Rattus norvegicus: one gene and its partners. The protein of the gene in region 1 interacts with the protein of each later gene in a pairwise test. Links are inferred from orthologs where the notes say so. Each region holds a gene or a part of one and is shown in the gene's direction. Other genes may lie near its edges.

Region 1 (3,750 bases):
TCTAAAAGTATTTGCTTGTATTTGAATATTGTTCTGAGTAGGTTGGAAGCAACAGGCTGGTGGGAGAGAAAAGGGGAGGAAGGAAGGAGCTGTTGTAGTTGGCGTCTGGACTCAGGTGGAGGAAACGGCTTCAGCTCTGGGGGAGAAGAACTGCAGAGTATAGAAACTATAGAGGCGAGTTCCCACACGCAGCCTATAGCAATGGCTTTCCCACTTGGAAAGCACTTGGTTCCCACTGTGCTTGGGAACCAAGAAAAATCAGAGCTGGCTTTTTCAAAACTTAGTGTCTGATGGCTATAAAGCAGATGAAGAGGCTTGAGAGAGCACTGAGGGTTTTGAATCTCGAGATGGGAGTGCTTGGATTCAGAAACACCCTGATAAGAGTCGTCAGTCCTGGTTCCTTTTTGAAGCCGTCTCCGGCTTGTCCTACTTAGCAGAGACTTCTGGGGTCAGGCTAAGCGGCCGATTCCCGCAACCTAGCTAAGTCACCCTGCGGGGAGTGGGGGTGGGGGGGGATCCCAGGCACCGAGCCAAGGTTTCCTGGATCTTTCGCCTACCCTCCCTCATTCCCACCTCGGCGAATGCAGGTGGGTTGAACTAGCCACTGAGGCTCCAAACAAGCAGCCAGCGACCTCGGAGCTCACTGGCCCAGGCCCTGGGTTTCGCGGGCAAAGACCTGGAGGTCGCAGTCCGGAGCGGTGGCGCGCCTGCCAGCGCAGCTCTACAGCGCCCGGACCTAGATTCCCGGGTCTCCGCCTGGCCGCCGCGCTGGCCCCTCCCCAGCTCTCCGGCCGTTTGGCTAGTTTGTTTGTCTTATTTTTAATTTCTCCGGGGCCAGCCAGAGCAGGTTTGTTGGCAGTCGTACACCTCCGAGTAGTCACGCGACCAGCCAATGTCCTGGCGGCGGTACGGGGAGGCGGCGCGCTCGGGAGCGCGGAGAGGCGGCGGCGCCGCGCCCGGGGCCACCTTAAGAGCGCGCTCGCCAGCCTGGGCGGAGCCGCTCCCGGCGCCCAGACCAATGGAGCTCCTCCTCTGTTTAAATAGACTTGCATTGTCAATCATCTTCTTCTTCGTCAGCCTCCCTTCCACCGCCATATTGGGCAACTAAAAAAGGAGGGGGGCTCGTGCTTTCGGGGTGTTTTTCCCCCCTCATCCCTTGTCCCGACTCACTCGCGGCTCCGAGACTTGCGCGGCGGCAAGGTTTGGAGAGGGGCTGCGTTCGCGGGACCCACGGGCTCGCCCCAGCCTACACTCCGACTGTTTGCCACCTCCTCCTGCCTCCTCCCCTCCCTTCCCCGCCCTCCAGTACACTTGATCACTGAAGCTTCGAGCTGCGCGGCCGGGGCGTCCCTGCGCCTCTCTCCCCAAGACCTGCGCGCTCTTGCGGCTCGGACGGTCGCTCGCCTGGCTCTACTCCACTTGGCCGTCTCTGTGTGCAGTCGCAGAACTTCGAAGTGGGGTTTGCGCTGCGGCAGGGGCGTTTCGCTTTTGTTTGGTTTTGTTGTTTATTTCATTTCATTTTTTTTTTTTTCGGAGAGAGGCGAGGCGGTGGTCCACACCCGCCCGGGGAGGAAGATGTCAAACGTGAGAGTGTCTAACGGGAGCCCGAGCCTGGAGCGGATGGACGCCAGACAAACCGAGCACCCCAAGCCTTCCGCCTGCAGAAACCTCTTCGGCCCGGTCAATCATGAAGAACTAACCCGGGACTTGGAGAAGCACTGCCGAGATATGGAAGAAGCGAGCCAGCGCAAGTGGAATTTCGACTTTCAGAATCATAAGCCCCTGGAGGGCAGATACGAGTGGCAGGAGGTGGAGAGGGGCAGCTTGCCCGAGTTCTACTACAGACCCCCGCGCCCCCCCAAGAGCGCCTGCAAGGTGCCGGCGCAGGAGAGCTTGGATGTCAGCGGGAGCCGCCAGGCGGTGCCTTCAATTGGGTCTCAGGCAAACTCTGAGGACCGGCATTTGGTGGACCAAATGCCTGACTCGTCAGACAGTCCGGCTGGGTTAGCGGAGCAGTGTCCAGGGATGAGGAAGCGACCTGCGGCAGAAGGTGATGATTCTTTGGAAAACTTAAAATGTCTGTCTGTCTCCGTAGCTCCTCTTTGCTAGACCCTGTTCGCTTGCTTTTTCCTGCGTGTTCTGCTTTAGTTCTGGGAGATCGAGCCTGTTTGATGCTTAGGTTTGAAATACCCCCAGCTGACTGCCTGGCCTGTTTATGATTTTGAAGTCAGAAGCCGGAGATAGTAAGATGTGATAACTTCCCCAGCCTAACGCGTCACAGTTCCTCCCCTCTAGCCAGCTGTAGATATGTGACAAAAGTTAGGATGTTTACCAACTGCCTCCTTCTTGGCTAGGGGGAGAAAAAGAGACGTGGGGCGTAGAATACTCCTTGTGTTAGTGGAAACAACCTCATTTTGTGTCCTTAGAGGCTACCGGGGATGACGGGTCCTGGGGTCGTGGGTGGAGGTAGTGGGTTGATCATCCCCTGACTCTTGGGCCAACTTCTGTCAGCCATTGTTCTCGATAATAAAGATGGTTTGTGTGTGTTCTTTTAAAAATTTCCCCTTGCCCCCCTCTTAGATTCTTCTTCGCAAAACAAAAGGGCCAACAGAACAGAAGAAAATGTTTCAGACGGTTCCCCGAATGCTGGCACTGTGGAGCAGACGCCCAAGAAGCCCGGCCTTCGACGCCAGACGTAAACAGCTCCGGTGGGTTAATGAGGAAGAGCACAAAACTGACACCCTAGCTGGGCTGCGCTCCCCCGGGGGGGGGGGGCTGCAGACCCCAGAACTGCTGGCAGATTACTTGCCTGCCAGGAGGAATTACTTTCCTAGGTCAAAAAATTAACACTGAGGAAGGCTGGAATCACTTGAGGGGACTGTATGCAGTATTTGTATCCCAAGATGTTTACCTTAAAATGGAACCAGAATGAGTGTCCCAAGAACTTGCCACCAAGGCCCCAAAGGATAGGGAAAGTTATATCCTTCTGAATCCCATTAAAACTTAAGCTGGAAATGACAATTTTCCTTCCCATTCTCACTTCATGAGAACCCATTTCCCAGAGGTTCGTTTTCAGCCAATAACCTATTTTGAGCCGTTTGAACCATAGAAAAATGGCAAATATATAATTACGTTTATATTCTTAAAAGAAAAACCAGGTACACGTAGTGCAGGTTTGGTTAGGAGTGTCTTGTGTTCTTCTGCTTTTGTTTTGGTTTTTGGGTTTGTTTTTTTTTTTTTTTTTTTTTTCGAAATAGGGTTTCTCTGTGTTAACAAACAGCCCTGGAGATTGCTCTGTAGACCAGGCTGGCTTTGAACTCACAGAAATCTGGCTGCCTCTGCCTCTGCCTCCTGAATGCTGGGATCAGAGGCATTTTGCCACCACCTCCCTGTACTTTTTTTTTAATTTTTTTTTTTTTTAAAGTTGTGCCTTTCCTTGTATGCTGGTAAATTTTGGAGAGTAAGAAAGGGACTTTAAAAAAAAAAAATTAGAATGGAAAGTTCAGAAGTACTAACGCTCCCACAGAATTTCTGATTTTAACCCTGAGGTTACAAAGCAGAAGTTAAATGAGCAGCCAGAGGAAGCAGTCCTCTAACACGTCAGCGCCGTATGCTAATTGTGCTGGAACAGGATGGTTTGGATGTTTATAGGGGAAATGGATGGTAGATGTTAGGACCAACTGAGAAGGTCCAGCACAAGTGTGGATTTTTCCATGTGTCAAAATCTCATCACCCCACTTGCCTAATTAG
Region 2 (3,650 bases), on another chromosome or scaffold:
AATGTGTAAAAAGGAGGGGAGGGGCTGGCCATAAAGAAAGCAGAGGGGAAGGAGGACAATAATGAAATTATATTGTTATTTTTCTCTTGGTGATTCAGTATCCTTTGCTAACTAATGAAGTTGAATAATTTAATATGGTCTTCAGAAACAAAACAAAGCACAGCTAAAGCCACCAAAGCTATGGGATTGTTTTTTTTCTGTTATTGGTTTGATCCTAACATTCTTCTCACAAAGTGACCCAATATCTATTCAACCAACAGGGATCCAGCTGAAGCATGTGTCCTTTAGACCTAGTCAGTGTTTCAAAGTCCCCAACCTGTCACAGTTCCCAGCAGTTAGTATACCATACCCTTGCGGTACTCTCGCGGACTGAGAAAAAGCTCACAGTATGTTTATAGCCCACACAGTTCTCTGATGGTTCTGTGGCAATGGCAGTATAAAGTGAATAAGCCTCCAGGGCCATGCGAGAGGACAGGAGCTAGAGACGACCGTTCCAAACTTTCCCCCTGATAATTCCTTACCCGCCCCCCAGGAAATACGAAGAGATATACCCGCCCGATGTCGATGAGTTTGTCTACATCACTGACGACACGTACACAAAGCGACAGCTACTGAGGATGGAGCATCTGCTGCTGAAAGTCCTGGCATTCGATCTGACCGTTCCAACCACCAACCAGTTCCTCCTTCAGTACTTAAGGCGGCAAGGGGTGTGCATCAGGACTGAGAATTTGGCCAAGGTATGCCACAGGACTTCTGGGGACAGCCACCTTTCCAACCACCTTCCACGCCCATCCCTCCCGGGTTTCCATCTCTGTAGAGGTGAAAGGCAGTTGTCTTAAAAACACGATGCCTGCTCACCAGACATTGCTGTTGATGGTACTGGCAGGTCCCAGTCACGTAGCTCCCGACTATCAAAGACTCTTAAGCACGGTAAGCTCCCTTGAGAGATGCAGACCGCAGGCGAGCAGCGCCTTTTAACTTGGGAGCAAGGTAAAACGTGGCTGGGTTTTGTTTGAATCTTATTCTAATTCAGTAAGAAATAAAGCAGCACGAAATCTGCAGCCATTTTGATCTAGAGGCACTTAGTTGGAATTATTAGCACTCTGTCCTAGCCAGTGAGCTTGCCATGGGAAATCTGTGAAACACACGCTATTCAAAGAGTAATAAAGATGACCACAAAGATTTCCCTGCATTCTCCTGACACGTCTCCAATGGCATTGCTTGAGCTTGAGAACTGTATCAATTTGCCTAGCCATTGCTAGCTTCAGTATGGCTGTTTCTTTGCCTCCTGGCTAATGACTCTTTCTATTTGAGATGTGAGCTCAATACTCCCTTATCTGACCACCGTAAAGCCTGATCTACTAGATAAGAGAAGTAACCTATCACATATGCCGTGTGGGTGAGATAGGGTATGGGAACATCATCACAACACAAACATTAGTCAGTCGAAGGACAGTCAGAGCAACTATGGAACTAGGAAATATACCTGGCTTAAGTTTGGGGCTCATCATTAGATTCTGAGGGAATGAAAATAAGGAACCAATTGGTGAGTTTGGCAATTCCAGGTTTACTGACAATTTTAGTCAAATTGGACCTTGCTCAAATTTCTTACTCCACTGAGATTTTTCTCTCTTGCCCTTAGTATGTTGCAGAACTGAGCCTTCTGGAAGCTGACCCATTCTTGAAGTATCTTCCTTCCTTGGTAGCAGCAGCAGCTTACTGTCTGGCAAACTATATTGTGAACAGACACTTCTGGGTACGTTTCTGTCTTCTTCCTAAGTAGAACACATTCAAAGTTCATACAAAATCTGTTCAGTGAGTTCAAGATTCAGAATGGACACAAGCCTTCTGAGGGAAAGTTTTTTTCATGATAGCTGGTTGTCATGGCAGCAGACCACAGCTTGTTTCTGAGTCTTCTAGATCAGTCACCATGGCTTTGATGCCATGGCTTTGCTCTGTGGGAAGCAGAAATAGCACGGAATCAGGAAGGCCTGGGAACCTCAGTGCCCAACAAAATATGCATAGAGGGCCTTGAGGCTTAGCCATTGGCCATGCCAAGCTAAAGTTGATCCTAGACAGCTGGAGTGGTGCACACCTATATTATAAGTGCCTGTGAGGTGGAGGCAGGAGGATTGTTAGTCCAAGTCCAGTCTGGGTCTCAGAGGGAGACCATCTCAATAAAACAAACATTAGTAGCATTCAGCTTCTGTAACAACGACAACAACAAAACCCCTCCAAGTTCAGTAATGACTGTTTCTTGCCTCAGAAGGCAGAAAGATCAGAAACAGATCCCTACATTTTATTCTAAATTTTCTCGGAGTGCTAAAAGAAATGAGTTATCTACTTTTATTTCTTATGATACTAGATAACTCTTTTAAAAAATGTATTTATCTGCATGCACATGTGTTTGTGTGTGTGTATGAGAGAGAGAGAGGCAGAGAGAGAGAGAGAGAGAGAGAGACAGAGAGAGAGAGAGAGAGAGACAGAGAGAGATGTAGGTCAGAGGAGAACTTTTCTCCTCCTATCAAGGGTTGTCTTTTGACTAGGGATCTCTATTCTATGCAATCTCTCATATTTAGTGTAAATTATTAAGAATCAGTGAAAGCCCCACCCACATAGGATCAAGAACAGTGGTCTGCCTCTACACTGAGGGTTACAACTATACTCCTGCCAGTTTAGAACCCAGGCTGTTTGGTTCTAGTGTAAGGTTTCTAAAGGAAGGGGTTATGAATCTTTCTGGATGGATATACTTGCTCACCAAGAATTTCACTTCACCCTTCACTTCATAAGCAGTTATGTTCAGATTTCTAACCTCTTATAAAGTTACGTGAAGCAAAATTTCCTTTTCGTTTCAATTAGCCAGAAACACTTGCTGCATTTACGGGCTATTCATTAAATGAGATTGTGCCTTGCCTGAGTGAGCTGCATAAAGCATGCCTCAGTATACCCCATCGACCGCAGCAAGCAATCAGGGAGAAGTACAAGGCTTCGAAGTAAGTGGGCACTCTCCCTTCCTTGCTTTCTGGGTTGTTGTGGAATCAGAACAACAAAAAGAAGTAGAATAAATTCTATCTTTCATTAGGTTGGAAAACAAGGTTGCTCGCTAAGTCAAGAAAAGACATTTAGGAAGATCTAGCTAGATTCACAGTTTGCCAGCGTTTGGCAGTTATAGTTAGCTGGCTTCCTTCTGACCCTTCAGACTGCTGGAGGTTTTCTGTAGCCTAACTGGCATCCTTGGCCCTGGGCTGACCTGGCTGTGCTCTCGTTTCAGGTACCTGCACGTGTCCCTCATGGAGCCACCCGTAGTTCTTCCCCTGCAGTGAACGGGTCAGCTCAACAGCCACACCAGCAGGCTTACTCTGACCTGTTACAGTTTTCTGCGGGTCGGGCCAACTAATGTCAGTTGTAGATGTCACCTTCAACATATGAGTGTTAGGTTCTTTTAGACGTCGGTAGTTTATAATTTATATAGATATAGACAGGTATTTTAAAAGAATAAACAACTTGCTGTGTGGCCATGTGTTGGGCCTCTTTACTAGTTGGCATAGCTGACACAACAGGCATCTTAGTTGCGAGTTATATCGTAGCTGTGTCAACACCTTCCCAAGTTGGTTGCATAAGCATCCCACACTTTGATGATTAAGTGCTTT
Region 3 (3,088 bases), about 7.8 Mb from region 1:
CGGTGGTAGGTATCAAAGAGCAGAATTAGAGATGTTAGAGCCTTGGCACATAAGTCCTTTACTTGGTACTGTTGAAATTAGCCTGATGTCTGTCTGTCTGTCTGTCTGTCTGTCTCCCCCTCTCTCTCGCGCTCTCTCTCTCTCTCTCTCTCTCTCTCTCTCTCTCTCTCTCTCTCACACACACACACACACACACACACACACACAATGCTGGACCATACTCTCTCTAGGACCAACCTGTGGCACATCCTTGTCTTGAGTAATTGGTAATCTATACCTTTGTTCAAAGAAACCTAACATGGGCACGTTTGCGTGCTTAAAGTTTCAGCTACTCAGGAGACTGAGGCAGGGGCATCACTTGATTAAAGCCAGCCCAAGAAACATGTAGTCTCAAAATCCGAAGGATTCTTTCAGATTCCAGGACAGATGGAGCCATTAAACCATACACACACACACACACACACACACACACACACACACACACACACACACACACATACACACGCGCGCGCGCGCGCGCGCGCGCATGCGCGCGCGCATTAAACATTGGTTATTCATTGATTTGCTGCTTTATTTTATACTCGGAGAAACAGAAATTGGGGTTTGCAAGTGGAGCTATACCGGGCCAGCATGGAGTGAGCACCAAACTCCCTCCTACTTCCCACCCCTTTTAGGTTCAGGAGAACATTTCAACCTCTGACCTTTGCTCTTGGTCTGCTGTCATTCATCTTCAAGCTACAGTTTGAACTGAGGGGCAGATAGGAAAGATAAACTGGAGGTCGAGGTGGGGTAGGTTGGAAGGGGGTAGAAGATGGAAACTTTTGCTCCTTGGCGGTTGTTGCCAATTTTATTTTCAGGTCTTCAGAAAATAAAGATAATGCCTTTGTGTTTGGGGGGGGAAAACCCAGCAATTTCTAGGTGATGAGGTCTAAACAGGGAAGTGTGTGTTGAGCTGTGAGGGGACACCAGGAGATTCAGCTCAACACCGGTTTTATATGCACTGACTGCTTTGTGGTGCAAGGAGAAGCTAAGGTGAAAATCCCTACTAGGGACAGTTTCCTCAGCTCGCCCCTCCCCCCAGCCTTCTAGCCTGAGCCTTAGTCCCAACCCAGTGACAGCCGCGACTTGCCCTCACATTCCAAGTCTCCCAGCTAATAGAATCTTCTGCCTGGGGCGGCTCACTCTGGGTTTTCCCTACCAAATATAGACTAATAAAGGCGGCACTGAAAAATCTTGCTTATTCCCAAATTGGACAAGCTGGAGTGTCCTGAGTTTTGTAAACATTATGCGTTGTGTTTTTGTGAAAAGGGTCCAAGAGCAGGGTAAATGAGCAGAGGGTACAGGGATTTTTCGTTTCTGGACACTTTAAGCGGCTAAGCACCACCCTTCTTATCCATTCCTCGGTTGCTTGTTTGGCTTACAGTATAGCACCTTGCAGAAACCAAACCTTCCGTGCCACCTTTCCCAGACAGAAAAACCTCCAGTTGATCCCTTGATGACCAGGCAACGACTTTTATAGCTAGATCACCTTCCAGTCAAAGTTTAGAATAGGAAACGCCTGGGCTTCAGCAGAAGGGTCAGCTCTGATCCGCTCGATCTGGGATAGGCTCCTAGCCAGATCCCAGATGGTGCTGACGCTGCCGGCTGTGGACCCCACTTTGTGTACTGAGTTTCTGTGCCATTTGAGAGCGTTTCTGTTTTCCTTCCCAGGGAAATGATGATGTGAGTTGGATTGTGTCTGCCTTTGGGAGGCATTGTATGCATTTGCATGTGCTAATCGCTCTGGCCTGGATCTCTCTCCTCCAGGATTGTCTCAAAGCCTGCCAGGAGCAAATCGAGGCTGTGCTGCTTAACAGCCTTCAGCAGTTCCGTCAAGAGCAGCACAACGGCTCCAAGTCTGTGGAAGATCCGGACCAAGCCACCACCCCTACAGACGTGCGGGATGTTGACCTGTGAGGAAGCCATTCGGGCGGCAAGAGAGAGGCGTGTTCGTCATCTGCTAGCCCCTTCTCTCTCTCTCTCTAGTTATGTCTTGTTCTTTTGTGTTTTAGGATGAAAGTTCAAAACAAAAAACAAAAACAAAAACAAAAACAAAATCTACCCCCACCTAGATCATATTTAAAGGTCTTTTAGAAGTGAGAGGGAAAGGCCATATAGTTGAGGCACATGTGGTACCTGTTCAAAGTCCAGCAGAAAGGGATCCCTTGTATATGCGAACCATTATCATGTGATGATGTAAGAGTTCTAGTGAGATGCTTACAGGAGAGCCCTCAGACTAGCTAGAGAACATGTATACCTGCAGTATGGGAACGAATTAGAGGAGACTGTCTCTTGTGCTTGGGAACTAGTGCATATGCCCCCTTTAGTAGAATTGCAAGAAACCATGGATGCCGGTGCGGCATGAGTAGTTTGCAAAGCATTGAACCCAAGAAGGAATCAGAAATGAGAAGGGACACGCTGGGGAGGTTATGCAGAACCACCCAACCACACGACTGAACCATTTTGGATGTAAGAAGCGTCCTGATGCCTCACCACGTGTTCCCAAGACTGAGCGTGGTGGGGTCTCTACGTTGCCTACTCCTGCTGACTACAGTAGCTGCTACCTAAGGGATATGTCTTTTGCCAGTTGGACGCAGGTGATTGGCTCCTAAGTCTCATGTTTGGTGAATTTGGGCGTCTTCTTCCAAACATGGTTCATTGTAGACGTTTCCCACTGTTATCTGATGGAGGGAATTAGCTATGGGCCGTGACAAAAAAAAAACTCATCTAATGGGGGCAGATGGAGACCACAGATGGAATTTTGAAAACAAAGCTTCTGTGTAACCGGAAGAGGGTGAGGTGATCTTTTATCCCTTATTAAGAAGAAGAAGAAGAAGAAGAAAAAAAAAACTCTTAATTTTTGGTGCTGATTGGTGCGTCTGGTCCACAGTTTAATGTTGTTATAAACCATTCCACTAGAAAAGCACTTTGAAAATTTTGGGGGAGGGTGGGGTGGGATATGGGATGGTTTATGCAAATCATGTTGAATATGCCTTCCTTCTTTGCCCCTCCCCTTCCTGACCTCTTCCGGTTACTATTCATTTCTGGA

What was found.
Region 2: the proteins of Cdkn1b (region 1) and Ccna1 interact in binary tests that used the Homo sapiens proteins (3 or more experiments, as listed by UniProt). The link is inferred for Rattus norvegicus from reciprocal best matches to the Homo sapiens genes CDKN1B and CCNA1.
Region 3: the proteins of Cdkn1b (region 1) and Ccnd2 interact in binary tests that used the Homo sapiens proteins (3 or more experiments, as listed by UniProt). The two-hybrid records come from large-scale screens. The link is inferred for Rattus norvegicus from reciprocal best matches to the Homo sapiens genes CDKN1B and CCND2.

Annotation. Positions count from the first base shown.
Region 1 is NC_086022.1:169,490,341-169,494,090, forward strand, and holds the start of Cdkn1b (cyclin-dependent kinase inhibitor 1B), read left to right. Parts: upstream 1-1,163; 5' UTR 1,164-1,200; exon of another isoform or gene 1,201-1,536; 5' UTR 1,537-1,575; coding exon 1,576-2,050; intron 2,051-2,580; coding exon 2,581-2,699; 3' UTR 2,700-2,708; intron 2,709-3,750. UniProt on the Homo sapiens protein: Important regulator of cell cycle progression. Inhibits the kinase activity of CDK2 bound to cyclin A, but has little inhibitory activity on CDK2 bound to SPDYA. Involved in G1 arrest. Potent inhibitor of cyclin E- and cyclin A-CDK2 complexes.
Region 2 is NC_086020.1:141,383,216-141,386,865, reverse strand, and holds the end of Ccna1 (cyclin-A1), read left to right. Parts: intron 1-532; coding exon 533-737; intron 738-1,642; coding exon 1,643-1,756; intron 1,757-2,859; coding exon 2,860-2,993; intron 2,994-3,271; coding exon 3,272-3,323; coding exon of another isoform or gene 3,324-3,397; 3' UTR 3,398-3,513; downstream 3,514-3,650. UniProt on the Homo sapiens protein: May be involved in the control of the cell cycle at the G1/S (start) and G2/M (mitosis) transitions. May primarily function in the control of the germline meiotic cell cycle and additionally in the control of mitotic cell cycle in some somatic cells.
Region 3 is NC_086022.1:161,652,463-161,655,550, reverse strand, and holds the end of Ccnd2 (G1/S-specific cyclin-D2), read left to right. Parts: intron 1-1,806; coding exon 1,807-1,956; 3' UTR 1,957-2,503; downstream 2,504-3,088. UniProt on the Homo sapiens protein: Regulatory component of the cyclin D2-CDK4 (DC) complex that phosphorylates and inhibits members of the retinoblastoma (RB) protein family including RB1 and regulates the cell-cycle during G(1)/S transition.